Linked DNA regions of Drosophila melanogaster. The protein of the gene in region 1 interacts with the protein of each later gene in a pairwise test. Each region holds a gene or a part of one and is shown in the gene's direction. Other genes may lie near its edges.

Region 1 (8,400 bases):
GGCCATTTGGCATTTGGCTCAGAATCTCTGGCCAGAATAATCACGAACAATGAAGACTGAACGGCGGAAAGCTCATTAACATGATTACAATGAAGATTCGACTGCATAATAATTCACACATATTCCGGCATTACGAAAAGTGCATTTGTATGGGCATGCAATTAGTCACAGAGACCGCAGCATCTGCAAGTTGGAGATCCGAATTCTTTACCGCCCGCCGACGCCACCGCTCGTCCCATTCATTCCCATAATTTAGCAAATATTTTTTTATTTTTTATTATTTATTTTCCCATTTTGCCTCTATGTACACGGCATAGCAACTGCATTGGTTATAACATTTTCTCACGTTTCGTCGTGCAGATTTCGGCACAAGTTGCGCCTTGGTGTGGCCGATCCAATGCCTGGGATGGCATAGTATGAGATCTCGGTTGGCAGTTGCAGTGTGGTGGCTCCACAGTTCCATGCCTCCATGCCTCCATGGCACTATGGTACCATGGTGATAATGATGATGGTGGCGAGGTCGCTGGATCGGCGGAGGCGGGCGACTAATGCACATTTTATGCAAATTTCGAATGCGCGATCCCCGTGTTTTGGGTTTGCTTATGGCAGCTTAAGTCGGTTTACGAGTGCCAGTAAATGCAATTTAGAATGCTTGAATCTATTGACTGTCAATAGGCGCAGATATTAAACCTGTTTGCCTATATGCCTAACATATGTAGATCGCAAACTAAATTCTTAAATTATATTTAGGTTTTCAACACCACATAATATTTATAGCAATTAATTAATATATAGCAATTCTTGCTTTAAATTCAGAATGATGCAGCACCTTAATTAATTTTATATTAATTGGGTAAGATCTAGTCAATTTTGTTCTGAGAATGACTACAAATTAGAATTAAACCAGTTCACGCATGTCTTAATACAATACATTCGAGACGGAAAAAATAATTAAATTATATGACTTGTCAGATATCTATAAAACCCGACACATAAATAACTCTTTATAATGCTATGCCTATTAACAAAAGTTCTAGTTAGAAAAGATCTCTTACAACAGATTAAAAGCAAGTTCGTTGCCTAAGTCATTCGTTTTTATGGAGACTTTTTGCGTTTCTCTTGCATATTTTCAAATGTGCCGCATCACGGCAATGCGTCAAATTAGCCAGGCAGTCCGCTCACTGACCACTATCCGACTGCCTGACTGACCCATTCCAATCCAATCCCAGCGAGCGCCGCTGAGCTTTGATTTCGCAAGCGCCGTCGCATCCATAAAACTGTAAATTGCACAGCTGCGTCTCCGTCTCCATTTGCGGCTGTCGCTGCCACGTGCAATCCCCGAATCCGAATATGAGTCGGAGTCCCCATCCCAATCTCAGGCAGCCAATGCGAAATTATATGTGTGTAAATACATTTATATGTACCTATGCAATTTCTTATTATGAGCGGTACGCTGCCAAAGGTTTTCCAAGAGCTGCACTTTATCAACGGGAAAATCTGCTGGCAGCCCATGCTCATTGCTGCACAATTACTCAACGACCTGGGTTTCCAATTCCCGCTCGAGTCCCAATCGCAATCCTCGGCACTCGTTAGTGCACGCAGAAAAAAAACTATAGCAAGCGAAAAAGAAATAAAGGTGAATCCAATTGAATCAAGTTCAAAATTATTTGTAGCATGTTCTGAAGCTAATTTCTTAACTGTGTGTTCGTATAGTTTCATTATTTAAATTAGTATAAGATTGATTTTAAAATATTACAGTTTTTTCTTTCTGTGAAGTTTGCACTATCTGTTGAATGGTTTTTTTGGCATTTTTTGGCGCGTTGCTGGTGGGATGGATGGGATGGGATCGAGAGTCGAGAGTCTGTTCAGGCGCATCTTCAGCTTAATTGAATTTTAGCTGCTGCTGCAGCTTCTGCTGCTGTTGGTGAATGCATTTTCCACCGGCTCCCACACGTTGTGCAAATGCTTTCGGCACTTTTACTGCACATCGGGCTTACATAATGAGTAAAAATTAAATAATTTACCCAGCCAATGGATTCTGGCGTGTACTGTAGCTTGTAGCTGCCAGGTGGAACACCGAATTCGTGTCTTTGTCGGCAAGCACATTCATCAATGTCAGGCGTTGAGTCCGAGGCCATTTGAGTTTCGAATAGATGGGTATTTAATTGAAAGCGCCCGCTAATTAGAATCCAATACGCTTAGATGCTGTGTAATGCCAAGCGATGGATCGTGTCGGACCTCATCTTCCAATAACAATTGGGACTTGGGCATCTGGCACTTCCTTATTGCTGGCCTTTCCCACGCAGAGGGATCGCGTGAGTCATTGCCACACACAGGAGTTGGATCGCAAGGCGAACAAACATTTATTACAAACAGCATTACAGCTCTTGCACAATCGCAATCGGCAGCAAATTAGAAAGATGGCGGCCACTTCCCACAGCTTTTTTGGCAGATGGCTCCGCTCCGCTCCATACCACACAGGGTTGAAAGTCATCCTCCAGTTGACATTTTTTCGCCAGCTGCTGATCTGCATGACTTTGGCTGCCTGGCCTTTTTCCGGCAGGCAACCTCAACTTTGAAATGCCAAGCTGCCAGCTTAGTGCAGTTTGGCGCACTTCAGTTCAGTTCCAGGTGACATGACAGCTTGAGGTTGCTTGCTAGCCATCTTTCCTGGGCAGCAAATATGGAAAATCTAAGCAGCAACGCCCAAGATCCGCCAAAGATCTGGCCAAAAGTAGCAGGCGTGTAAATTCCCACACTGCAGCAAATGCCGTCAGCCTAACCGTCACCCGGAGTCCCCCATCCATGGGGCTCCATGCCACACTCACCCATATACACATAACCGGATTGGCGGTGGCACCGCGACTTTTGCCCCGACATGGCAGCCGCGGCAGCAACGGCAGATGGGGCAGCAAATGACAAAGCCCCGCCACGGCTATGACATAATACCCAGCGGAAGATGCAACCAACGAGCTTGGTGCACCAAGTGCACTGCAAAAATCAAGAACATCATATTGTTCGAGAAGGAAATAAATTTGAAGTAAGATTTTAATAACCTAGAATATTTGTAAGGATATGTCGAATTCGGAAACCAGAGAAAAGGCTCATGTGGGCTACCAAAGAAGTTTTTTATTTTGTTGTACTTTTGATCAAATTTATTTGTAAAATCTAAACCTCTCTTTGTTCATCTACTTTTTTCCTCAGTGTACAGCGGGTGTAATTGATGTGGGGTCGTTGGTCGGGCGGGGGAGTGCTTGCCCATAATCATGAGCGGGCCCTGCGGCCAGCTGACGTAAGTGATGAGCGCCAACGACTCCTGCCAGGCGGTGCATCGCGTACAATGCAACCAAGTAAGTGTCATATGGTCACACGTTGCGTATGCGTAATTTGCGTTAAGCATACGACAGCGAGCCGCAACCAAATAAGCAGCAGAACCAAGAAGCGGTGGAAAAACAAGCACAAAACCGAACAGCAGACGACCACGAAGATGCGAGACGAAGCTGGAACGCTGATGCGCTGCTTGCGTCGACGACGCACAGTAGTTAAAATATACAAAATATACTTTAAGAAAGAAACTTAACCTTTCAACTATATGTATTAACATTTTAAGAAATCTAAACCAACAAGATGTTAAAATTCTATTAAAACGTAAGCTTTAATTTAACTCTTAAATACCTTAAATATTTATATTTACCTATTAAATACGTATGATTTCATAAATACAAATGCTTATATTAATCTTTAAAACGTTTGTAGTTTAATGGATGTATTGTATTTCAGTTTAGATCATCGGGATGGGATAAATTAGATTATCACACATTTTTGCCCCACTGTGCACCAGTGCGGCTGCTGCCTTGGAAGCAGCGCCCCGATGGGCTCCAAGTGGTTTTCCTTTCGCTTTCAGAAATCATTTCGCTTCGACAACGTGAACGATAAAGTCACAGATCGCGCATCGCGAGCCCGCTCTGCCCGCTGAACTCGCCTGGTTCGCCTGTCTCCTCCGGTCGGTTGTTGGTTGCTCCTCAGTGGATGTGGTTGGTGGTTGCTGGCTGGTGGTTCTGCTGTGACTCTGTGTTTTCCGCTGTTTGCCCAGCCAAGTGCGGCGGAGGCAGACGTCTTCAACGTCTCGCTGCACCTTCTAAATGGGCTTTCCGTAGTTTTCGCACCTTGCGAAACACATTTCGTACGCATTTACATACAAGATCGAAGTTTGAAGAATTTTGCCCTGCTGTCTGCTCATTTCCTACATGACGGACAACTTTTTATGGCGATGATTTTCGCGTTGAGTTAGTGAAAAAAAGAAGCAAAAATACAAAACAAAAAAAAAAAACAAAGTAACAAAGAAGCAAAAATCTTGTGCAGTGGGGAGTTTTGCAATCAAATCCCTTTCAATACTCATAAGATTTCTGGTGTTGTGCCCTCTTGTTTTGCAGTGCGATCCATGTGAAAATCGACATTTAGTATCAGCTTAATTGCTCTGGATTACTTATTGGATATCATCCTGATTTTGGATTATAAAAACTAATACAACATGCTGAGCATTATAAATGCAATGATTGCCTTCCTCCTGGGTGAGTAAAAGTTTGAATCTCAAAAAGGATATTATTTTAAGCAGTTGGATTAAGCAGTTAAATTTTAATTAAATTTTTTTAACTACATCATTACAAAATTAAGGTGACGTTTTTTTTTAATCTTAAATACTTTAAAAAATATTTTTCTATTTCATAATGTACATGTTCAAAGAAGGGTTAGGATTTATTAAACTACATTTGAATTGTGTCAAAATTTTCCCTTTTATGTTTTCCCTCTAAGTAAATGTAATTTTAAATATAAAAAAATATAAGCTTAACCCTAAGCAATTTCGTAGATTAGAAAACAGGCATCAACTTTAAGAAAAACGTAGAAATTCGATTTCGATTGAGTACAAAATTTCCAAACGTTTTTCTAACTAAAAACTATGTTTTGCTTTTTGTGATCCCATTTGCTGACGATCACCTTCTCTACATAAATGATAGCATATCGGTAAAAAAAAAAAAAAAATCGCATGCTCATTAGGTTTTGTTTTTGAACACATGAAATACAGATACAGTGCGCTGCTTCAAGGTCCATCGCGAAAGAAATTAATGGGATTCAATGGGTTTCATATCGATCACATTTGAAATCAAGCGTAATTCGCTTGGCAGCCCCTGCAGCAGGCAAAAATGAAGACAAGGCTGAGAAATGGCAATTACGGCTAAGAGTGGGTCATCAGTAAACATAATTACCATACTGTAGATTATATTTTTTCAGTGAGAGCTTGAGTGGGACAACGCCCAGCACAGTGGCTTGAGGGGATTTGAACTGCGTGAGAGCTTAGGTCGGCCCAAAGTTTTGACCAATTTGTAGGTTCAGCTCAGCAACCAAGCAATTGAAATCGAAATCGAACAATCTACAATGGATGGGGGTAACAAAAGAGCTGCCTGGGATGCCTTTGCCAGTGCCCCATGCCATCTGCCCAGTCATAGTTCACTGCCAAACAATAGGCTGCTTTGCTGGGGTGGAAAGTTGGGTTTGAAATTCACTTGAATTAAATGCGAATCAGAGTCGAGTTTCGGCCACAGCGTCTTTCTTTCTTCGAACTGTGCTGGATGGCTTGTTTTCTCTTTGTTTTGCATTTTGGGTTTCCTTTACCAATTTTTTTTTTTTTTTTTTTTGGCATGATAAATGGGGGCGCACTGGGGGATTATGCAACCTGCGACTGCAATTTGCAGCCGTAGAAGAGGAGCTTTGTTCTGCAGTTTGCCATGACAATTACACTTGCCTTAATTGCAGCGAAACCATCTTCCGCTGTCTGCAGAACAGAAGCTTCGAAGAATAAAAAAATATATGCAAAAAAAAAAAGATATGTCTAAATGTATATAAAAAGCCATAGACAACAATGATACATTGTTCAATCTCAGGGTAATTAGGCAGACCCCTGAGTCTGTTTTGCTTTTAATGCCCAATGTACACATGTCCGACAAGCGTAATCCGTAAATTTGATTGACTTGGCATTTTAATTGAGCGACCCCTATGTGCCCAGTAGATCCAGTGGATCCGTTTGTGACCACAGCGATCGCATATCGTTCGGCTGGCCAAAATGTTAATGATGTCGCTCGCCATCGCAAATACCAATCGATGCTCCGAAAAAGTAAATAAAAAGCGGTCCCAAGCACTCACAGAACCGAGTTAGTAGCTCCACAGCCTTGGACCGCAGCAAGTGCTCCGGCACACATAAATCACGAGCTCGTCTCGCAGTTGTAAGCGAAAGTGATGCGGCCCGAAGGTCACTTGACCACCAGGGCACCAGGCACCATCACCAGCAGCATCGTCTCGATCGGCACCAGCATCTGTTCCCACTAAATACCCATTCGACTCGATTCTGGCCCCACTTGAGGTGCCGTTTGAAGAGCAGACCTAACCGGATCACGATTTCTGACTTCTTTATATTGTTTCCACTCTTGCAGCAACGACACTTTGCAGTGGATACGGATACGCGCAGGCCCAGTTGCTCGACGAGGACGACGACCTGGCCTTCGGAAGGCCCTGGCCCACCTACAGCCTACAGAACATGCCCAAGACGCAGTTCACCTGCCACGACAAGATCCTGGGTGGCTACTATGCCGATCCGGAGACCCAGTGCCAGATGTTCCACGTCTGCGTCAAGCTGCCCGGAGTGGGGGTGAGTAATGTTGTGCCCAGGTGCAAGTGCTTCTGGTTGAGATCAAGGCAGCAGTGGCTCATGTAGCAAACGACATTGGCATAGAAATGATATATTTAATATGGGTACTAAATACTACCTTTTTTTGACAATAATATTTTCTACAGAATCAAAATGAAAATACTTTACAAATTTCAATATATGGTTTATTGATCAAAAATTACCACCTAAATGACAAACTTACATTAACCTACAATTTTAAGATTTTATAAAGAGATACGCACAGATTAAGCAGACAATATAGAATTTTTGATGTAGGCAAATTTGATAGTGCGAATTTTTTGATGCAACCTATCACAGCGTAAAACTGGCGGGAAAAACGAAAGACTTAGGCAACAAACTTGCCGACAGCCATTGGCTCGGTTCCGTCGCGCCAGCTAAATGGCAAAGTGGCACAGTCAGATGCGATGCACTGCGGAATGTGTGAGATGGCTCCAAATGGTTCGTGACTGGTCCGGATAGCCGGATGGCTTTGGTGCTGGCAAAACCTGAAGAAGAAGACGGTTGACTGGCTGACCTTTAAGCGGGGGTTTCGCTGGGAGCCGAGTGCAAAGTACTACAAACTAGGGTCTTCCACCGGATTCGTCTGCGAATGGAGCTCATCTGCATCCTTCTGCGGAAGACGCGATGTTTTCCGGTGCAACCATCGTTGAGTTGCCTGGCATAGGGAATCGAACAATTTGGTCAGCTGGCGAAGCTGTCTTTGCTCATTATACTGGATATCCAACCTTTGACGTTCCCACATTTCCTGGAACTTGTCCGTGTACTCGGCGATTTTGTCCTGGAATTTTCGCGTTTGATCTCTCAATTCCATGTGAATGGATAGCATGAGATTGCTCTGCATATTCAGTTGACTGTTCTTTTGGTCAAGTTGCTGCTCCAAGTGGCAGTTTCTCTCCGTCAAATAATCTATGTCCATCTGAAGGCCCTTTAGCTTTTTAATGGACATTTCTGCTTCTGAGCGAATTGCCAGCATTTTCTGTTCAACTTTTTGCTCAAAATCTCCATCCGAAATGTCCTCCTCAGAGCTATCACTCGCTTCAAGGCTTTCCAGAAATCGCTCTAGCTCTTCCTTGTCCACAACTATTCCTAAAGCCTTGTTCCTTAGACAGCGATATTTAGCCCGCTCCTGCCTTAACAGTCGTCTCCACACTTCGTCGGGCAAACTGGCATTGGAGTTGGACGAGGGAGTGGGAGCCGGTGTCACCGGGTCGTCTTTTCCCTCCGGTGGATCTGCGTAGTTGATTATCACCGTCCTGCTCCCGTTGCCCATTAGTTGATTGAGTAGCCTTGTCAGTCGAATGTTATAGTACCGTATGTGCGTCTTCGGGCTGTTGGCCAGTACCTGGAACAAACTGATAAGCGTGTCCAGGGGCGTGTCCGATTCGAGTGGCGGCGAATCCTCCGTCAGTTGCTGCAGGTGGACCAGCTGCAGTCTACCGCAACATTTCCGCAACTGATCGCCATTCGTCTGCTTCACATGGACGGTGAAGATCAGGTGTGGGCAATCGCCGCCCTCAGCCACCTTGTCCATGACCCTCGCGATATAGGCGTGTACCCCGTGGGACGTGGCCACAAAGTGATCTCGGGTCGTCCGGCGATTGCAACCCTTGAGGTTCACCACCAGGTCGTTCGTCTCCCCGTTCAGTTGGACGTAACGC
Region 2 (5,907 bases), 930 kb from region 1:
TCTCCAGAGCCGAGCAGTAAATGAGTAACCACATTTCTGGCTTCTCCTTTTAATGCTGACTTTAGATAATTAAATTTGAGAGAAGGACTGAGATCCTCTCTCACATGTATGAGCTCTGTAAAGAGTTCATTAAAAAGATCCCATTCTTTGGAATCACCAAAGAAGGTGGGAATCTGTATTTTAGGCAGGGTTGGTAACTCCTCCGCCTTAACAACCGTCGACATTTCAGCTTTATTTATTGTGCCACTGAGTCGACTATTAATGGCTGTAAGAATATTTTGTTTGTCAAATTCAAGTTCGCTAATTTCTTCTTCGAATAGCGAACTCTCAAAATGACTATTCACCTGTTCAATCAGGTTATCTATTTTATGCCATAAAAATTCAATTTTATTTTTCCTTATTTTAAGGAAATCTGGACTACTGTCTATTAGTTTAGACGTATCTTCTAGATATACTCGAAATTGGCCAACATTATTACGAAATGCCTGCTCTACTTTTAAAGCGTTGTTTTGTGCTATACCCTCTTTTTCAGGGTGACCACGCATTTCAAGGTTTAATGTAGGGGGAGGGTTTGATTTAGGGACAGTGTTTGATTTAGGGAAAGTGTTTTCTACCGACTCGCCCTTAATTTTTTCATTTTTATTTTTAATTTTTTCTAACACCATCATTATTAAATCATACTGCTTCGCGTTAAAATATTCATGATCGACAACGCCGATCTTTAACAAATTGCTATGATTAGCAATGAAACATTTTTGAAGCTCATTTAATTTTAGAATTTCTACATCTGTTAATGTTGGTTTTACTTCCAACTTTCTAATTTCCAAAATAATTTCGGACTGCTTCTTAAGGAATTGAATAGTCTTTTCTGACATCATTTTGAAAATTTTTTGTAATTTCTTAATATATATAGTACGTGTATATGTATTTTATATGTATTTATATATATATGTGTGTTTGGATAAACAGAAAATTCTTGTTTTGACTTAGCTGATGTCGTTGTTGTTGCTGCTGCTGTTGCTGCTGTTGTTGCTGCTGTTGCTACTGCTGTTGCTGCTTCTGCTGCTGCTGTTGTTGCTGCTTCTGCTGCTGGTAGAGGCTCCTTTGAATTTGACTTCCTTCTCTTCTTTAAGGCTCCGTCGATGTTTAAAGATGATTTTTTTTTTTTTTTTTTTTTTTTTTTTTTTTTTTTTTGGCACGTTTTATTATTTTTGTAGTCCAGTCAGATTTTTTGTTTTTTAGCCATTTATTTCGGCATTTATGCTCTTTTGGCATATACACTGCACTCTATTTATGAGCTGATTTAATGCTATTAGAGCATTTATAAGGCACTGTTTTCAGGCACTTTTTATTTAATTTATGCTCTTATGGCATATACACTGCACTCTATTTATGAGCTGATTTAATGCTATTAGAGCATTTATAAGGCACTTTTGTTATGCACTTTTTAATTCCACAATTGCTGATGTATGGCCTCAAGCACGCCTTACCACAATTTATAATGGTACACAAAGCAACCTTTAGCTATAGACTATAAGGTGCTTGTTTTAAAACATAAAAGATTCTTTTGTATCTTTTGCTTTTTATATTTATACTCTGTTCCTTACCTTTGGTAGGGGGAAACAAGAGTCACTTATTTTTGCTACCTTTAGCTGTAAGATGCTTAAAGGAGCTGGCCTTTCTCTGAGTTCCTTACCTTTGGTAGGGGGAAACTGCAGAGTCGATTAAAGGCTCGATTGACCAAATGTAAAATCCCAAATAAGAAGACTTTACTCGTTGAGTTTTTGTAAGAAACTGATTTTATTTGGAAATATCTTCGGTTTAAATAGGTGACATGAGAATCGCATCTTAAAGTAAATGGCCTACGCAGAGGCCTAAGTAAATAGTCCCCGCCTTATCGAGGTCCCACGCTCGGGCACATCTGCCTATCTTGAGCGGCGAGGACCTTATCTGTGGTCTCCCACTAAGGGACTATTTTAGGAGGCGGGGAACGATCTCAAGTGACTGACTCATGTAGTGTGCACTTAAATTACATGTTTTTGAGCAATGCACCCATGTCGCCTTAGATAACAAAATCCTAAATATAATTTATCGCTCTCGATTCATTTACATAAGATATGAACGGAGCCCAAAATTGTAAGTCTTTAAATATATTCGTGTTCATGTGTGAACAGCCCTGATCAGCGGATCTCCACTTGATGGGCGATGAGTGGCGCCGGCAAAAAGTACAAATACAGTGAGGCCTGGATTGTGAAGGGCGGCCGATTCAATGGCACAGGCCTCCCGTGCCGTCAATTGGACCACAGAGCTCTTTTCTATCCGCTTGAAATTCGTGGTTTCATGGAAGAATATATTTTGTCCACGACTTGGCTGCTTTTTGGCCTTAAGAACATCGAGCAGGGGTATGACTGGAATTTTCTTAGAAACCTTGTCCAATTTGAACTTGGATTGGTTGGCCACCGACTTGGCTGCCTTTTTGGCTAAGGAATTCTGCACGTGCTTTTTATTCTTAGCCTTGCTATCGATGAGATTTGCTTTCTTCGTCGAATTCGTTAGTTCTGTTTGTGCTTTCGGGTAAGCATGATTGTATGCTATCCATTTGTAGGTTAATACGATGCTGAGAATCAGGAGCAGAGAACCTACAACGATTAAAGTTCGTGACACTTTCATTATGAGATTTTTAGACTGCACTTCAACGTCGTAGCTTACGGTTAACTAACAGCCAAATTCGTTTCACTTCACACACGAAATTGTGATTGTAACAGCAATATGCAAGAAAAAAATATTTTGTATGATATTTTGAAAGCTTATGCTCTATATTTTAAGTAACTTATGCTTGGGTTCCACTTAATTCCTTTTTTTATATATCAGCATAATCAAACACATGCCAATGATAATTACATTATTTTCCTCGAATGAACCACGTATAATAAGGTCAAGCGTGTCGAATTTGAAGATTTGTTTCACTTGGCGATCTTTTTTGCCTATATAAGCGGTCTTGCATTTCCTCATTTCTTTTAAATTGACTTCCAACTGGCCGATATGAAGTTCCTAGCTCTTTTCGTCACTTTGCTGGTTGTTCTGGCTTTGGTTAGCGCCCAAAAGAGCCAGAATACAAATCACAACGTCATCGTCATCGGTGCCAAGAAGCCAGGAGCTGCACCTGCCGCAGCAGCTGCTGCTGCTCCTGCCGCACCTCCTGCCGCAGCTCCTGCCGCAGCTCCAGCTGCTCCTGAAGCAGGACTCGCAGATGCTCCAGCCGAAAGTTAAATATTATGAGTCAGAGGTTATTTTCTTCTAATAAAATGGATCGCTAATCACAATATATGTTTATGAGAGTGTTTAATCTATGTATTACAATATTAAACTACATGGACTGACTTTTGAAACCCCAACCAGACATGGGAGTAGATAGTAACCAGACCACTGCTGTCATAGATCCTTCTGAAACAGGTGTGATTATGAATTGGAATTCAAACAACAAAAAGGTATCTTCGGTTCAGTAAATTTCATTTACGTTTCCCAATATTGTTGGGAAAATAATAATTTTATTTTAACTGACTATTGTTATCACGACAAGTCATTGAGAACTGTGGTAGATAGTAACCAGACAACTGCTTTCTCATATCCTTCTGAAACAGGTGTGATTATGAATTTGAATTCAAGAAGAAACTTTTTTTTTCGGCTTAGTAAATTTCATTGGCGTGCTTTTTAAAAATGCTTGCTAAAGACTAATACTAATTTTATGAAATCAAGAAAGATTTCTATCGCCGTGCCAGGTAAGTTCAGATTATATAAATGTTTGTCAGATTGACAAAAGGAATCAAGTGTTATTTAAATTGTAATCGGTCTATTATGTCTCGGGTTTAAGGAATTAGTTCCACTTCTTTTTCTTTCATCGTGCAATTAATTTCAAATTGTCTGGCATTTAGATTAGTATCGCTTACGCAACCCAGGCCTTATAAGAAGAGCACTCCCCTAGCTTGTCATTACTTCCAATTCCAACTGGCCGACATGAAGATCACCTCTGCACTTGTTCTGCTCTTTGCCGGTGTGGCTTTCGCCCAATCTGCGGATCCGAACACCAACGAAAACAAGAATGTGATCCACATCAATAGTCCCAGCGCCGCAAAGTAAATGAGCTTTTGATAATTGCAGGCACAGAATTCAATAAAACATTTACTTAATTGTTTGCATGTAATAGCAATGGCCTATTTATTTTATTTTAAGTTGAAATATTAAATCTATTTTAGTATACAAGAATATACCATATATATTTTTTCATAAACCTTTTGTTCGAAGCTTTGTTTGGCCAAAACTTATTAATGGTCATGGCTTTTACGACTAGTCACAATCTGACAGTATATCAGATGTTTTTGCCTAATTATATTAAATATAAATTTTAATATATATATTTTATGCTAAAAACGCAAGTGTTTCAAAAAGCGCTGATACCGAAACCAAAGGTGCCAATGCCAAATGTACCAAAACCAAATGTACCAAAACCAAATGTAGCAAAACCAATTTTACCAAATGTAATATTCAAAAGATTTGATTTTCGTACGACCGAAAGAAAAATGATTTAACGATATTAAAATTGGCCACCGTTTAAAAGAATTAAACGATTCGCTTGGCTTATGCAACACTTGGCTTATAAACTATATAAAAACCGGGTCTGTGTTTTATTTCTATTCTCTTCTGATAGACATGAAGTTCCTTGCGGGTTATTTTTTGCTGCTTATTGGCTTCGCTGTGGCCCAAAAAGATGCTGATTCCAATGTGAATCATAATGTAATAAATATTAATTAAACAACATTCTATGTTGTGAGAAAAAGAATAAAAGATTCTATAAAATGTGAACTTATTATGTTTTTTATTTATTTGTTATCGTTTAATTTGTGTACAAGCTAATTATTTTATTCTCAAATTAATGTATATTAAAAAGCATTGATCAAGGATTTAAATATATAGTATATTTGGAATAAACTGGAGATATAAAATATAATTGTCCTGGTATTGGATCGATAATCGGTTGATAAATCCGAAGCAGTAGAGAAATATGTTTTGGTCATATACTAGGTTATATAACCCCTATTGTAATAAACCATTTCGAATATCTATAACATATTTTCCTTTAACCAATTCAATTTGTTATGCCAATTAACGATTTCATCTCATGTTATTTAAAGCAACTACAAAGAATATCAATCGTTAGCATTCACCAAGTTGTAAAGATGCACGGAACGCACTTTTTGATCCTGCTTCTGTTGTGTGGAGTCCTGGGATCTAACGGTGTGACGCCCGACATTAAAAACGTGGCAAAGGCCGAAAGAAATATGCACAACATGTTGCGTTGTTTAAAGAAGAACGAGCCAATAGTTAAGTCCAGGATTTTAACCTTGCCGCCTAACTGTAATCAATATGTTAGCGCGGTCGTCGAGACTTGGAAACCGGAAGGAGTGTAAAAAGCCTCATCATAGAGAATTTTATAATAATAGTAAAGATAATGCCCAATTAAAACCTAGACCAAAAAGTGCGATTAAATGTTTGAAATATGTGCTACAAAATGTATTTAAAATATAAACGTAGTTAGTAAGCAGCTTTACATTACAAACTAGATTGCTATGGCTTCATGTTTTGCCAGTTAGGTGTAGAAAGTTTATATTTTATTTCTCTTTCTTTTTTCATGGCGGCATAGGGAGTTGTCCACATATACGAGTATCTGTATTCAACAAACTTTTTATTGTTGTTTCAAGTGGCATTGTTGTTCCAGTTGCTGCCATAGGTAACTACGTGCTAAGAAATGTATAGCGAGCTGCACAGGCACAATATATATTATACAATATATACTCGCTCTGAAGGCGATAGGGATTCATGGAGGAGGAGGCTGCCAGACAATGGCTGGCG
Region 3 (8,154 bases), on another chromosome or scaffold:
AAAATTTCAAAAATTGGTAAAAAATTTTTTTTTTGATATCATTCAAAAAGTGTTTTGGATGGTTAGTTTAGGTCAATAGCTATTCAAAACAGTAAGAATTTTGGTTGTGAGACAATTTTAAGCCAAGTTTCGAAAAATGATTGCAATGAAAGTGTGGAACTTAAGCTAATCCTAACTTTTTGTCATAGAAAAGTCATTATTTTTCGCATAACATTCCAAAAAATGATCGGAGAAAAAAGTGATATGCCTTGTTGAATTCGTAATAAAATTTCCAATCGAACTGCATTCCAACTTAGAAATTGTATTTTTTTCCATTTTTCGACAAAAATCATGATGTTACCCCTTTCCAAAATTTCAAAAATTGGTAAAAAAATTTTTTTTTGATATCATTCAAAAAGTGTTTTGGGTGGTTAGTTTAGGTCAATAGCTATTCAAAACAGTAAGAATTTTGGTTGTGAGACAATTTTAAGCCAAGTTTCGAAAAATGATTGCAATGAAAATGTGGAACTTAAGCTAATCCTAACTTTTTGTCATAGAAAAGTCATTATTTTTCGCATAACATTCCAAAAAATGATCGGAGAAAAAAGTGATATGCCTTATTGAATTCGTAATAAAATTTCCAATCGAACTGCATTCCAACTTAGAAATTGTATTTTTTTTTCAATTTTTCGCCAAAAATCATGATGTTACCTTTACCTTTCCAAAATTTCAAAAATTGTAAAAAAATTTTTTTTTTGATATCATTCAAAAAGTGTTTTGGGTGGTTAGTTTAGGTCAATAGCTATTCAAAACAGTAAGAATTTTGGTTGTGAGACAATTTTAGGCCAAGTTTCAAAAAATGATTGCAATGAAAGTGTGGAACTTAAGCCAATCCTAACTTTTTGTCATAGAAAAGTCATTATTTTTCGCATAACATTCCAAAAAATGATCGGAGAAAAAAGTGATATGCCTTGTTGAATTCGTAATAAAATTTCCAATCGAACTGCATTCCAACTTAGAAATTGTATTTTTCCTTTCCAAAATTTCAAAAATTGGTAAAAAATTTTTTTTTTGATATCATTTAAAAAGTGGGTTGGGTGGTTAGTTTAGGTCAATAGCTATTCAATACAGTAAGAATTTTGGTTGTGAGACAATTTTAAGCCAAGTTTCGAAAAATGATTGCAATGAAAGTGTGGAACTTAAGCTAATCCTAACTTTTTGTCATAGAAAAGTCATTATTTTTCGCATAACATTCCAAAAAATGATCGGAGAAAAAAGTGATATGCCTTGTTGAATTCGTAATAAAATTTCCAATCGAACTGCATTCCAACTTAGAAATTGTATTTTTTTTCAATTTTTCGCCAAAAATCATGATGTTACCCCTTTCCAAAATTTCAAAAATTGGTAAAAAATTTTTTTTTTTGATATCATTCAAAAAGTGTTTTGGGTGGTTAGTTTAGGTCAATAGCTATTCAAAACAGTAAGAATTTTGGTTGTGAGACAATTTTAAGCCAAGTTTCGAAAAATGATTGCAATGAAAGTGTGGAACTTAAGCTAATCCTAACTTTTTGTCATAGAAAAGTCATTATTTTTCGCATAACATTCCAAAAAATGATCGGAGAAAAAAGTGATATGCCTTGTTGAATTCGTAATAAAATTTCCAATCGAACTGCATTCCAACTTAGAAATTGTATTTTTTTTTCAATTTTTCGCCAAAAATCATAATCCAAAATTTTAAAATTGGGTAAATTTTTTTTTTACCATTCAAAAAGTGTTATGTACCGAATCCCGTATATACGGGATAAATTAATTAATTAATAATATTAATTTTTCCGATGACAATGTAAATATTAAGTGCATGTATCCCTCGTCAGCTTTCCTGCTAAACGGCGGCTGTCAAGCATTCCAGCCAACTGCCACTTGGATACCCAAAAAGCCAGAGATCTTTAGGAGGAAACCAGAACAAGATCACCTCGGGTGGTCGGAGGACGTCACTCAAATTGAAGTCCGGCAAATGAGATTTGCCCGGCACCGGAGTGTAGAGCATGCAGAGAGGGCGAATGGAATCCATATCCGCAGCCCAATCTTCATCATCTTCGTCTGCGAGTTGAAGTTGTTGGATTTTTAATTAAGCGTGGCCTGCACCCGAGGCTTTTCGTCGAGTAGCTCTTCGGGACACGGGAAGTACGGCGATCTCGGCGGAACAGGTCTTGTTAGTAATTTTTAATTTGAGCTCTTCTGACAGCCAGCTGTCATATAAATTTAATTGAATTTACATTTTTATTAATTGCCAAGTCTGCTAGTGAGCCCAGTCTCGATCTCGTAGTGCTACCCGTTGGCATGAATGGGAGATGAGTTGCTTAAGCCGACTGGCTACTCATCAGACCATCAGCCCATCCACATCAACATCCCCATCCACTTCCACTCTCTGAATGAATTTAATTTGAGATGATTTGTTGATGGTTTCGTTGTGGTGATTTCTTGCTGACTAATTTAATGTGATTTTTAAATTGCCAGACCGAGGCAGAGTGTGTGGCCTGCGCAGGGGAATCAGAATCTCATCGGGAGATTGATTGGGCTCATGGGAGTGGGGGCAGCGTTTTTACGGAATTAATGAGATGACACGCCTCTCGCTGGGATGCGAAACCCCCTCGTGATCATTATGAACTAATCTAATTTGCAAGCCCGCGATGACAATCGAAGACGGAAGAGAAGTCCCCTCGATCCTTGCCCACCTGGGCAACAGCGCTAACGAGGACGCTTCTCCTCGAAGGCCCCCTCCAGTTTAATTCGCAAATCAAACAACCGCAGGGCAGAGATCGGAAATTCGCGCATAAGTAAATTAAAAATAAATTTATGTCCCGACCAGTGAGGGGGTCAGGAAACGCATGTCCAGAGGGAAGGAGCGTGTGTTAACCGGTTTCGGGACGAACGCGAATGCAAATCCAATTAAAATTTCGCAAGCGATCAATGGGCGAGGGGTGGAGGGCGGATCGCATCCTGCGAATGGCGCTAAGCCGTAAAACGAAGCTGTGCGCTGATTTAAAACACTGCGGGGCGTGCTTATTGATTAAATACAAATTGCGTTCATTCATCATCAGCTCTAGGGTCTGCTTGATATTGGTGTTTTTATTGTTGCTGCTCTGGCTGGCAATTAAATTACGATTTGAGGTGGATGCTACGCTCGTTTTGCAAATAAAATCCAATTTCACAGTCCTCTAAAATATAGGACTAAGATGCAAAACTAAGATGCAGTTTGAATCCCATCACATTTCGCGCCAAGGGCTGCCAACCTGGGTGAACGGTTTTGTGGTGTTAGTGCGATATCTTAGATATTTTCATTTAATCGATTCCTCTCGATAAGCCATCGATATTTTTTGTATAATGTCTTGCTTTGTTGTTTACAAATTCGTTTTTATGTTACGCAGTTCGTCCGTGCTAAATGATACACATGAAAGTAAATTGCATCAGATTAAGTTACATCGAATACTTCTCCACAATTACAGATGTGAATAATCCGCCAGAGGTGTTGTAAATTTATGAATACCAAGGGCTGCGTACAAAACAGTAGTGCAATTCAGTGGCAATGCCAGGCACCAGTGACACACGACGACTGGTGGACGCCCTGGACGAGGATGACGAGATTCTGGGCACGGAGGGCAGCTTCGTTCCCGCTTTTCGTCCGCAGGACCACCATGCGGATGAGCAATGTCTCATGGAACGCCAGCAGGACGAGGTAGTTTTGGTGTCCAACGAACCCGAGAGTGGACGACTCTTCACCTACCTCGTGTTCTACCTGTTGGGCATTGGTACCATGACCCCGTGGAATTTCTTTGTGACTGCGGAAGATGTAAGTTTAACGAGTGGAAATTTCCGCACCCGCATCCTAGTCAATTTAACTGAACTTCGGACATATCAATTCCAAACAGCTGAACAACTGGGCCAAGCGCAATTCTAAGGCGCGGTGCTTATCAGCTTTGTCGTCGTTTCTTTACGACCCACACCCAGACGAAAACTCTCTTTTTTGATTTTCTTTGTTTTCCGCTGACTTACGCTTTAACCCTGTTCGCTTCTCTTTCAGTACTGGAAGTACAAGTTCCGGAATGCATCGATTAATAACACAGACCTGGAGGAAGAGCTCACCCCGTTGCAGAAGAGTTTTACCTGCGACTTGGCTCTCACGGCCACTATTTCTGGGACTACATTTCTGCTGCTAAACGCCATTTTCGGACACCATGTGTCCCTGCGCACCAAGATGTTAGGAACGCTGTGGATGATCCTCATCCTTTTCGGGGTTACAACTGGCTTCGTGGAGATCAACACAGACACGTGGCAGGAACAGTTTTTCCTAATCACTCTCATCATTGTAGTGCTGCTAAATAGTGGGTACCATGAAGTACTCCTTGAGTGTTTACTTAATATTTATTATATATAGTATCTGCGGCTACAATGTCGGGAGCCCTCTACGGAGTCGCTGGTCTATTTCCCTCCGAGTTTATCACCGCTGTGGTTAGCGGACAGGCTCTTGGTGGTATCCTCACAGCCCTGGCCTTCATTCTTGTGCTTGCATTCGACACGGGTCCCAATACCACTGCATTCATCTTCTTCATTGTGGGAGGAGTGCTCATCCTGCTTTGCATTGTGTGCTACGTAATCCTGGCTCGAAAGCCTTTCTTTAGGTATTATCTCGAAGGTGGCGACAAGTACAAGGTCATCCGGGCAGTGCCCTCGCACAACCGGAATGGAAGCGCTGAGGGCTTGCCGCTTGAGCCTATTTTGCGTCAGGTCATGTCGAAGATCTATCTGCATGCCATTTCCCTAGCGCTCCTCTATACCACGACCCTGTCTGTCTATCCGGCAGTTACAGTGCTTATGCAGTCAGAGTACGGCCACAGCGTGTGGACAGGTAAACAGAAAACCTATTCTTTTTGTTCGTGCCTCATATGCGGTGTTCTTACAGATGTTTATTTTCTGCCCGTCGTGAACTACCTGATATTTAACTGCGGTGACTATTTTGGTCGTCTGTTTGCTGGCTGGATGGAGCGACCATTAAACCAGAACACTTCGCTACTATTTATTGTAGTGCGCATGGCGTTTGTTCCGTTATTTCTATGTTCAAACTCCAGCGAACACAGCTTTCTGCCAGTTTTGGTAAAACACGACTATACTTTCATAGCGATGATGGTAATGTTTGCCTTGTCCAACGGATATTTTACGAACATACTACTTATAATGGCGCCTAAACGCGTAAAGCAGCATGAAAAGGAGCTGGCTTCGTCGATAATGGCAGCTGCTTTGAGCTGTGGCATGGCTGTGGGATCACTGCTCAGCCTTGTATTTGTTCAAATGCTTTGAATTAGCCAACAAAATAAGTCTGCCCATAGTGCCTTCGGGAGTTTCAGAATCTTAAGCATTATAGTGATAGTTAACTTGATATTGGTTGCTCTTCCAACTACTTAGGGGGTGTTAATGTTTTTACTTTTGTTACAAGTCTACTGACTGAAATTATTTACACAGCGAAATTTTATTTAAATTTTTTCCAAAACGAAGTGTTATTTAATATTTTGAGTTATTTTGATGCTGTGTGTTGTTTTCCAAATTTTACTCATTTTTTATTTTAACAAGTTTACTATATCGGGATGCCTAGATTTAAGGTTTAAAGTTTTCATTATATACTAGGAATAAGACGATATTAAAAAAATTAGAACAATTAATTTTTCTTGTTTAACGTTTATTTCGGGTTTTCTGTGGATCACAACAACAATGTGGATAGATTTTATTGGATTGCTTTTGTCATTAATCATTGAATTAATTAATGAACTCCATCGTAGCGCGGTCTGTGAAGAGTTGTGTTTAAAATATACTTAGACTAGAAATCTAGTGGCGAATTGTAGTATGTGCATATATCGAGGGTATACTGTACCTATAAGTACACAGCAACACTTAGTTGCATTGCATAAATAAATGTCTCAAGTGAGCGTGATATAAGATCACCCATTTATGCTTTAAGCTAAGTCAGCATCCCCACGCTGGCCGCTGGCCATATATGCGCATAAGCTCTCTCTCTCTCTCTCTCTCTCTCTCTCTCTCTTATACATATATATATACGCTGCTCTTCTGCCGCTGTCGACGGCGGCGCAGTCGCAGTATTTAGGTAAGATTAGACACTCTGTAGAGGTTAAGCGGGCAGAACCGTTTCTGCTACTCGAAGAGATAAGAAGAAATAAAAAGGTGGCCTGACGGCTGCACCCAACTGCAAGGAAAACACGTGTTCTCAATTGGTGGCATATATTGGTTTATTACATGGCGACCGTGAGGCAGGAGCCTGCGATCTGAGGACTACTGAGGAAATGCTGCTAATATTGCCGATTTGATTTGGGAATTCTAAACAGCGACAACAGGTGTGAGAGGCAGGCCGCCCCTTACACCAGTGCGGGAGACCTAGAGACGGGACACTGATGAAAAAAAAAGAAACAAAAATACTGAGTGAGTAGAGTGTGGTAATGGGCAAACGCGGATGTCAGGAAATCAAAAATAAAGGTATAGCACATATTAAGTGGCTATGATATACAAATAAAACACCGCCCCCATGGTCAACGGCACAGAAATTAACTGCCGAATTAGACTTTCTGAAAGAAAACCTCCAGCAAAGAAAGCCGAATACCACAACTCACTCAGCAAAAATAGAAATAATCAATGAAGAAATAACTGAAAATTCAACATCACCCAAGCCGAAAAGACCCGACGTCTGCATGAACGACTGCCCTCGACCATTGTAAGCCGCAACAGCAATTAGCACGGCATCCTGCGAGGGTAGGATTAGGATAAAGGATAAAGGATTCCACCGGCGCGCCGCACATGACAACAGCGAATGTCTACCAAGCAGACGTTCGAACACCCTGCTCCTGTCGAGCAAAGGGATCTGCCAAGTATCAAAGAGGTAATAGAGGTAGATCCGTCCGCGGGACCAAAGCCCTTGACCATACAAGAGTACAAGGCACGGACTGCAGCGAGGGAGCAGCCACCTAAAAAGAAGAGGGGTGGCCGCCGGATTAAGTTGCTCAGCGCCCGGAGGCTCAACATCGAACTACTGAAGACGGCAACTAATGAGGAAGACCGGCAGCGCTACAAAGAGCGCCTTGCAGCCATCAATCAACAACTTCGTGGTGCGAAGTAAAGCGGCGGGCTGCGTTATACGCCATAGCCTCAACCGCCCAAATATTATATTAATGTTGTCGATGCGGTTTCCGCTGCAACAAAATTACTAACTTATCAGGGACCCATTTCATAACTAACACATTATACTCAGTCCTAAACTTAAAATAAGTAATAATATTGTAAAATTGCAAATTGCAACCGATGTAAACTGAGTATAATGAATTCATCTATCAAGTAAAAATATGTTTAACAACAGTTTAGACCTATTAAAATTTCGAGCTATATTTATATCTGATCGAGATAACAATAATTGACCAATTCTCAAAGTTAAAATTCTATTTGTACTTTTGATATACAAATAAAGACTAATTTTCCCCATATCAAAATGGGACATAAGTCGTGGATACAACCCCACAGTTAAATTCAATGTACTTACTATTTTTGATTTTAGTTATCCTATCAGCCTTTTAACCTGGCCTTAAAACTTTATCAGTTTCACAAAAGATCGTTGAAAAGACTTACATGAGTCGAGCCAATGATTTAGACAAAATCTAATAGAAACTACACCAAAAAGGTACAAGTGCGATTACATCGCTAAAAGGTACATACATGGAATGGCTAAACTTAACCATATCCATAAACAATATTAGAGATGCTTTTGATAAATCCTATAAATGTATTAATAAAACCGCGCTGATCAAAACTCAGACGCTTATTTTTCACATAAAGGTATTGATAACACAATACAACACATTACAAAACCTAATAGTAACAAACAAAAGCAAACTCACTGAAGAACATAAAGTCCAATGCTTCAAAGTTCTCAGTTCATTTGGTAAAAGACTACATAATACCAGCGTTAGACACAGTATTATAATAGAAGTCCCAACAGAACTAACCAAAATAGCAGAATTCGACGAAAGCCAGTTAAGAGACTTGGACGAGTCGCAGCCGTTAGAAGATTTAGATATCGAAAGCGATATCGAATCAATAGAAGAATTAAAATTTAATACCGTA
Region 4 (8,234 bases), on another chromosome or scaffold:
GCATTCCCCCGACTTTTTCATTCAATTGCTATATCTGGGCGGCTTTAATTAACAATGTTTTTATAAGCACTTTAACCAATACTTTTTTATATAGAGAAAAATGCTATGTGAAGTTCCTTGGAGATTCAAGCTATAAAGGTTAAAGTGTACACCTTTTCCCCCAATATAATTTTTGCATTTCCCTATCCTCTTCGAAAGCATTTACCCTCCAAAAACGCAGAAAAGCCACATGGACCACAATTGAAGGGTCGTTGTTGTGGCTCGTTGCTGCCACTTAACGTATTTGCCACGGATTCACCCACCTCCCCACCTGTTATGCCTGCACTGACCGCTGAACGCTGCAGGATGCAGTCGTTGAGGGAGCTTTAATCGACCAAACTGCCACTGCACCTGCGGGATCAATTGAGATTTATTACTGGGTCGTGTCATTTGTATTTCGCTTGGTTCCCACGGCTGCTTCTGCAATTGTGCACATTTTATGCTGCTGGTCAGCAATTAGACACTTATTTAATTTGCAGCGGGAATTTCCAGCTGGCACTTCGGATTTGCCCACTGACCCGACTAGTTGGGCGTTTTGGGCCAACAAGCCGACAGCTGTGGTTAACTTTGGCCAGCAGAGAATGCCAATGCTAATGCCAATATGCCCTTATTCCAACCGAAAAGTGGATCGCTAGCTCTTCAAGAACTTTTTGCCACCACATACTTTGCTCCCAATGACAAGCTGATGATTGTATAAAGCCAATATTTGTATCTAAATATCTGGTAGTGCAAAATAATTTGTAGCTGCGATTTGCGCAGATTGTGGTCGTGTTGGCTTCGCTCTTTAATGACATTTTGAGCGTCTTAATGACTTAATGGCCCTTTGGTCGTCAAAACGCTTTTGCCGCATCATTGGCAATGCAATTAACTCGAGCATTTGCTGGTGCCCGCTTTTTGTGTGCCAAGTGTCCTGGCGTAATTAGTTGGCCACTTCCGCTTCCACTTCCTTGCCGCCATCGCATCCGTGTCTGTCTGCGCGAGTCCTTTAATGGATTTCGCCTCTGACTGCGCGCGAAAATTCATTAAAACTCGATAATTGCATGACAAGACAAGATCCTGGAATTTGGCCATCGGGTGCGAGTCCTTGTTTATCCCTGGGCTCGCTATCTGGCAAATGGCATTAAGAACCAGTTGATTTACTTGCGATTGTTTTCCGCTTGGTGCACTGAGCAAAATAAGGAGCATAACATATTATCGAAGAGATCGATGTTAAGAAATCTCAGAATATTTATTGTATATTTGAATATCTAAAACCTGAATTACAACTTAAAGAATATATTATTTTGACATATGTTCAAAACAACAAGGAATTTATTTAAAGCAATAATTTCATTAAAACGAAGAGGAGATTATTTCATTTAAAACAATTGGATGTGTAGTTATTAAATCAGCTGCCAACCAAGCTGGCCAAAGTAAATATTCCTTTTGCGTGACTTACTATGCATATTGTATTATTCATTCTACCGAAATGAGGATTCGGTAAGCCATGTATTTGTTGCATCTGCCCATCGCACAGCCAGTAAGTAATTGTCTTGATTAAATAATTTAATCTGCTAAATGCAGGCATTTTAATCTAGAAAAGCTGCGACCATGTCAGGTGCACGCACTTCATTGGCACCCAGGAAATCATTGGTTATTAGCCTTCGGCCCGTCGGCATCGAATTGAGTTGGAATACCAGAGATGTAATTTCAGCCTGCGGTTGCAGGGCAGCAAATTGAATTTTGCTGTAAAGCCGCTCGTTGCCAGGAGGCAGGATAAACATGCTAAACGTATAAATTTTCAGCCTGATTGCATTCCAAAGTTTCGGGCCACTAGGACGGCATGCCAGAAACTATACACAAAAGATAATGCCGCTGCACAATTGGATTGCCAGCTGAGGGGGAGAATGCAGCACACAAACATTCATTTTCCACTCGACTGGAGTTGAGCGCGTTTCGCATTCGCATTCGCATTTGGTATTTCGCATTTCAGCAAAATTTCAATGCGACAGACAAGAGCGACCCAGACGGTATTGTTACGGTTACGCTTTAGGACCAGGACTAACCTGAACCTCCAATGAGTGACATTTATCTTGCGAGGACAACAAGGGGCGTCCTGTCGGAGCATTCATTTGCGTAATTAGTGGCCAAGTGGCATCCGCAACCTGGTTGCCAAATGCCAAATGCCATTTGGCTTCGGTCGCAGAGCAGAGGCCTCAAAATCACCGCAACTGCTGCTTGATTATTGGCCAGGACCAAAAGGAATGGCCAGCAGACAGGCGACGTCAGCACAATTGATAGCATACTTCTCAGGGCAGCGGCAGCTGAGGAGCAGCAAAGGTGAGTCCCTTGCCGAGCACTTGGCTCCACTGCACTCCTTAGCCACAATAGAATGTACCCACTTTGAATTTGTAGTAAACACGGAAGCACACTTTTGAATTTATAAACATATAATTAGCTACAAAAAAATTGCATTTAGTTGCTAAGCTTACCGCCAAGTAAAAATCATAAAATTTAAACTTTAGCAGTTATTGCCAATGTATCCAAAAATGTAATTCTCATATTTATCTCCTACATACAATATTTCAATTAAATAATTATAGTCGTCTAGTTATTGTACCTTATGTGCTCATGTTTTCGGGCTATATAAATCGCAGTTTTAAGCCAATAACATTTTCAGCAACGATTTCCCCTAGTGAATTAGGAAATAGTAATTGATTTTATGCGATTGATTCACTGCTGCACCAGTAAAAAGTATCTGCCTGAACTAAGGAAGTATAATTAAATTAGTTTTAAACTGGAAAGTAACCGAATCAACGTGGCAAGCAAGCGGAAAACTTCATTTGTAGCTGGGAATTGGCCACGTGGGTGGGCGGTGTTCCTTGGTTGGTTCGGGGGGGAGTGGGAAAAAGGAGAGCTACGTGAGAGTTACAAGGGCACGCACGCAGACACACGGGCACAGCGAAAAGCGAAAGCAGCGAGAGAGGAAAATCGGAGATGACGAAAAACAGCAACAGCAACGGCAATGGCAACAGCGACTAAGCAAAACATGGGCCAAACCAAAACAAAAACACACGATTTGCCGGCAAAATGCACGTGACACATCCTTTGGCGAGCTTCGTCGAGTGCGATCCTTCGTCGAGTGCCGAATGCAGCCGATTGCAGCCGAACGAAGCAGAGCCGAAGCTGCGCAGAATCCAACGAGAGGTATAAAAGCGAGACGCTCGCCGCACTCGTGGCATTCGATTGTCGTCGCTCGAGAGGATAGGTGCCCAGCTTCGAAAAGGATAAAACCCCGCAAAGGACTCTAAGTAAAAGTGAAACTTTAAAGCCAAAGAGCACACACACATACACATACACGCGCACACGTTGCATACAGTTTGGCGCGAGTGTGGGTTACTGCTGGCGGTACGCCAGTGTGTGTGTGTGAGTTGGCCAAGTGGATTTCTATTTTTGGCCCATTAAGAAGTCAACTCGTGAAGTGCAGTGGTGTTAAATTCGTTGCTATTTGAAAGGACTCATCGGGTTGCTTAACAAACGAAAACAAAACAACGCCGAAACTCTGGCAATCGCAATCTGATCCTTGGACATGTGGAGCAGGCAGCGAATGCGCCATAAGCCGCTTTGGGCCCTAATATCCTTGACCGTTTTGCTGCTGGTCCTGGACAAAAGCAATGCCAACACGGAGCCCGTCGAGACCAGCACCACATCCGAGCCAGGTGAGTCCTAATTGCCCCGCACACACGTGGGCTCCTCCGTTTGACCTTCACTCACTGGACGGACGAAAAGCGTAAATAAATTATGACGGGCCGCCTCGAACTCGGTCACTTTATTAAATGGCCTTCCACGCATCCATGGAAATCGGACAGTTCACAGCTTCCAGCTCCCAGCGATTATCACACACGCTCGAACAAAAAGGATATAAATCCGGAGTAGAAATGAATTCGTAACCGGGAGGGGAAGCTACAGAGCGCAAGAGCAAATAACTGGCAGCAAATGAAATATTTCACGGCATCTGCGGCACAAAGGCAATCAAAGCGAGCCGAGAGCCCATGGGCAACCTTAATCCCAATCAGAGTCAACAAACAAGCAAGGGCATCGCGAAAACGGGGCACTGCGGAAAATATTTGGCAACAAATTTTTAGGTTGCTTTTCATATTAAATTATAAAAGACATGCTTATAAGGTGCAAGGATAATGGCTTTTATTATGAATCATTCAAAGCAAGACATCATGAAGTCTTTAAAGTTAGTTTTCAAACGCAATCACAAACATTATTTTTCAGTAAGAATAAAGAAAAACATGATTGTCATGTATGACAAATCGAAATAAATTTTCGTATAGCATTCACATAAATATTTAAAATCATTATGTATTTCACACCTTGTAAAATAATTATTTAACCTTTATTTCGAGCGTATTATGATAATTTATTAGGTAAGAATTTAATGATAAATTTAGTTATTTTTGATCAAATATATTTTCAATTACATATGTATATTTATACATTATAAATTATGATTACTGAACATTTTGAACATGTGAAATCATTAATAAGGCGCAAACTTAATGCATACTTTTGATTGTTAGACCTTTGCTCCTAAATCTCAACGAAACTTAATTCCGCTGGCAGTCACCAATAATTTCTCTCAGTGCACTAGGGGAAGGGGAGCTGAAAGGTAGCTCGGGCAAGCGGCAATTGCACGAAAGTCCGTAATGAAGTATGGCAGGCAGGCCGTCCGAGGCTGGTAATAGAAATTAATAGCGTCATGTGTGAGTTTTGCGAAAGGGAAGGAAGACTTTGGACGGGGGAATGGGTGGATGTGGGGTACAAGGGACAAGGGAAGTGGGAAAAAGGATACAGGGGAAGTGTAAAGTGCCCGACAGCGACACGCAGATGCGCATAAAGTAATTAATTCACTCTGCCTCCATCGGCATCGCCATCGCCATCGCCATCCCTCCAGTCGGTTGCCTTCTAATTTCCCCTGGCAAATCGACAGGACCAGCTGTTGAGCTGCTGAGCTTTTGGGGTTTCGTCCTTCAGTCAGGCAAAAGTGCGTCGCACTTATCTTCTTTTTTTTTCTTTTGTGGCGGATATTGCGACTTCTTATTTCGCCTTTTGGTGCGCAGTTTGGCAGTCAGTCAGGTGAGAGGGGTGCCGATTCTTAGATTTTCTGAGATCCAAACGTTCGCTTGACACATGTGAAAGCGAGGGAAATTTAATTTACATGACTCACAAATGGAATCCATTTAATGTTGACTTATGGCGACGAAGCACTAGCGCACAGAGCACTAATGAAATATGCAGTAGCCGAGTAGCAGCTAAAACCAGAGCTGCCTTTCACCCATTTCCATGTGCTGTCCCATAAATCCTGGGTCCCCAGGATGGATGATGATGTTGGAACGAGTTGGGCGCACACTAAAAAATATGCGTTTACGATAATTATTTTCAATAGTAGAGTAGTAGTAAGCCACATATAAAAGAGAAGCTAACTAAAAATATCCCTTCGAAACATGATATAAATATTTCATAAAATAAATAGGAAGCCAAAGATAGATGGAACTTATTTCAGTGCACCACACACAGTGCATTTTGCGAGCCCATGGTCACCCATGTCTTTTTGCCACATTTTATGTGCTTAGAACAAAGCTGAGTCTGCATTATGCATGCAAATGGTATAACTGAGTAACGAACTGTCAAAATCGCAGTTAAAGCAAAAAGGAGTCGTTGGGAAAGGGATGTAGCCTCGGCAGGAGGAGGAAAACCAAATGACAAAAAGTCGCCAGCGCATTATGCATTTGCATTCCCATATATGTGAGCTAAAGGACAGAGATTACTTGACTTTTCCTGGGCTGCCTCAAAAATAATAGGAGGGGTAGGAAATGACAGGGAGCTCCCACTGTGTGGGAAATGGGAGTTGGAATTGTAATAGCTGCTGGAAAAGAAGAAGAGAAGTGCTTCTACCCGCCAGGGCATGAATGATTTATAGGGCGGCAGCTGTCGAGATGCCAACGATTATCGGCCATAAGCTAGTCACAGGACATTTTTGCACCAAGAGAAAGAAGAAAGGAGTCTTTGGATGAAACTATTGTTCACTGTGCACTTTATGACTAACAGAGTTCCGTGAACAATTCCATTCCGTTAAAGCTGCCTCATTTTCTTCTCACGAGCTTCACGTGAATCTGGTTCTTGGTCCGCAGTGTTAGTCCAGTTTGAAAAACAATAGTTTTCGGATCGATTTCTGGTAGAATTTGGAACTGCTTCAGTAGGGCCACCATTAGGGTTTTCATCTCCTGCATGGCAAATTTTTGACCTACAAAGAAAATGATATGTTTATCCAATCATTCCATGAGAGTAAGCAATATTACATACCTATGCAATTCCTCTGACCAGCACTGAATGGAATATATGCGTAGGTGTGACGATTCTGCGAGTTTTCGGGCAGAAATCTCTCCGGGCGAAACTCTTCGGGAGAATCCCAGTACTCGGGATTGCGATGGATGTCGAAGACATGGACAAAAATCTGGGAGCCCTTTGGCAAGATGAGACCGTTGCTCAGCTCAGTTTCCCGCGTAGTTTCCCTACCCATGGCGGGAACAGAAGGAAACAGGCGCATGGTTTCCTTGATAAAGTATTCCAGATTCTTCAATTTGTTCAACTGCCCGATGTTCAAGATGTTAAGCTCATCTGAAAGATTTTATATGCTTATGAAATCGTAAGTTTACTAATTTCAGCTCATTTCACCATCTATGTTAGCTTGGATCTCTTGGTAGCATTTTTCTTGCTCCTCGGGATATAAAGACATGTTCATTAGTCCAAACATGAGCCCAATTGAGGTAGTATCGTAGCCCTCAAACATCAAAGTGTCCACCTCCTCACAAATTCCAATGTGATCGATGAGGCCATCCTTTTCGGCAAGAATAAGGGTGTCCAGCATGGCAAAGCGCTTTTTACTGGTAAATCTAAAGTAATCGGTATTGTTATGGACTTATGGACGACTGTCAAATGCCTTACAATTCATCTTCAGCGGTCTGAGTGTTTCCTCTGCTATCTATCTCATCATTCAGCTGATCTCTCCTCTTGGCAATAATCTCGCTGGAAAATCCGTGGACCACATCGAGTGCAGACGCGTAATCCTTTTCGGCAAACATCTTGAATAGTGTATCGCTCCATAGAAGTGGGTTGCTCATGCGACGAATGAAGCATTCTTCGATCTGACGGAAGTTCTCCCGGTACCGATCCCCCTTCTCGGCCATCTCGTCCAGCTTCACACCCATGGCCGTCTCTGCAGATATGTTTGTGGTTTTATAATTAACAAAACTTTTAAAACGTATTGCATCTCACCACAAATGCTATTCAGGGTAAATCTGGGAATGACTTCGTTTAACGAGATGATTGCCTCATCATTGCCTTTGAATTGCTCTAGGAACTTCAGACTCTCCGTTCTAGTAAAGTTCATTTTTTTTTTTTTTGAATAGTTACTACGTTAGAAATCCAAACTCACATAAAAATTTCCTGAAACTGATTTAAGATATTGAAATGGAATGTTGGGGAAAGCATCTTGCGTCGTGCATGCCATTTTTTTCCTAAAAAGCGTGATAGCGTTGTAAAACAAATGAAGCATGTGCTAATCCAAACTCACCCGTGGATGTCAACAGTCCAGTTCTCAGAAATGGATGAAGAAAATCGTAAATTGTTCCCTTGTTTATTAGATTTGGATCATTAAGCACACGTTCCGCACTATCTGCGTCTATAACATTGTAGATGGCCGTTCCCATTGCATATTCCGCGTAGCTTTTGCCCAGTTTTTTTGCACAGTCACGCGAGTGTTCAAAAACACCAGCTGATTGTATAATAAGAATAACAGCCATGATATGATGTCATTAGCATAGATAAGCCAGCAAAGCTCCCCCCAAATAACTTACAGTGATCTTTGCCGTACAAATCGAAGCTGTTGGCAAATATGGTACTGCCCTTCACTAATGGAGCAATGCTCTCCGGATTCTGTCCATTCTTGGTTCGAATCCTCTTGGCAAAGAATCCGAGAATGCAGTAGTCCCTGTTCAGCCTATAGATCCACTGAATTAGAACAATAAAAGCTCCCACGAGCCACAGAATTAACATTTTTAGAGAACCGCATCCGCAGATTTGTCTTACCAAACTGATCGCTGAGATCACTAGCAGCCGGTTTTATGAACAAACAATTCCGGTATAAA

What was found.
Region 2: the proteins of CG13643 (region 1) and Mst57Da interact in a two-hybrid assay, tested with the Drosophila melanogaster proteins (one large-scale study listed by BioGRID).
Region 3: the proteins of CG13643 (region 1) and Ent1 interact in a two-hybrid assay, tested with the Drosophila melanogaster proteins (one large-scale study listed by BioGRID).
Region 4: the proteins of CG13643 (region 1) and hig interact in a two-hybrid assay, tested with the Drosophila melanogaster proteins (one large-scale study listed by BioGRID).

What each region holds. Positions count from the first base shown.
Region 1 is NT_033777.3:24,901,510-24,909,909, reverse strand, and holds the start of CG13643 (uncharacterized protein), read left to right. Parts: upstream 1-3,905; 5' UTR 3,906-4,003; exon of another isoform or gene 4,004-4,183; intron 4,184-4,433; 5' UTR 4,434-4,531; coding exon 4,532-4,571; intron 4,572-6,485; coding exon 6,486-6,700; intron 6,701-6,861; exon of another isoform or gene 6,862-7,295; coding exon of another isoform or gene 7,296-8,400. Other genes in the region: CG10845 (uncharacterized protein), read right to left, coding at 7,296-8,400.
Region 2 is NT_033777.3:25,829,012-25,834,918, reverse strand, and holds Mst57Da (Male-specific RNA 57Da), read left to right. Parts: upstream 1-3,019; 5' UTR 3,020-3,042; coding exon 3,043-3,270; 3' UTR 3,271-3,344; downstream 3,345-5,907. Other genes in the region: Mst57Db (Male-specific RNA 57Db), read left to right, coding at 4,015-4,137; Sfp96F (seminal fluid protein 96F), read left to right, coding at 4,708-4,809; Mst57Dc (Male-specific transcript 57Dc), read left to right, coding at 5,235-5,465. UniProt on the Drosophila melanogaster protein: Transferred from male to female during mating and may affect egglaying and behavior after mating.
Region 3 is NT_033779.5:353,098-361,251, reverse strand, and holds Ent1 (equilibrative nucleoside transporter 1), read left to right. Parts: upstream 1-3,377; 5' UTR 3,378-3,565; coding exon 3,566-3,829; exon of another isoform or gene 3,830-3,923; intron 3,924-4,060; coding exon 4,061-4,361; exon of another isoform or gene 4,362-4,414; coding exon 4,415-4,885; exon of another isoform or gene 4,886-4,939; coding exon 4,940-5,334; 3' UTR 5,335-5,687; downstream 5,688-8,154.
Region 4 is NT_033778.4:9,242,268-9,250,501, reverse strand, and holds the start of hig (hikaru genki), read left to right. Parts: upstream 1-3,252; 5' UTR 3,253-3,607; coding exon 3,608-3,737; intron 3,738-6,091; exon of another isoform or gene 6,092-6,170; coding exon of another isoform or gene 6,171-6,331; intron 6,332-6,390; coding exon of another isoform or gene 6,391-6,705; intron 6,706-6,762; coding exon of another isoform or gene 6,763-6,980; intron 6,981-7,032; coding exon of another isoform or gene 7,033-7,303; intron 7,304-7,362; coding exon of another isoform or gene 7,363-7,463; intron 7,464-7,522; coding exon of another isoform or gene 7,523-7,604; intron 7,605-7,660; coding exon of another isoform or gene 7,661-7,861; intron 7,862-7,943; coding exon of another isoform or gene 7,944-8,142; exon of another isoform or gene 8,143-8,182; intron 8,183-8,234. Other genes in the region: Cyp4p3 (cytochrome P450 4p3), read right to left, coding at 6,171-6,331, 6,391-6,705, 6,763-6,980, 7,033-7,303, 7,363-7,463, 7,523-7,604, 7,661-7,861, 7,944-8,142.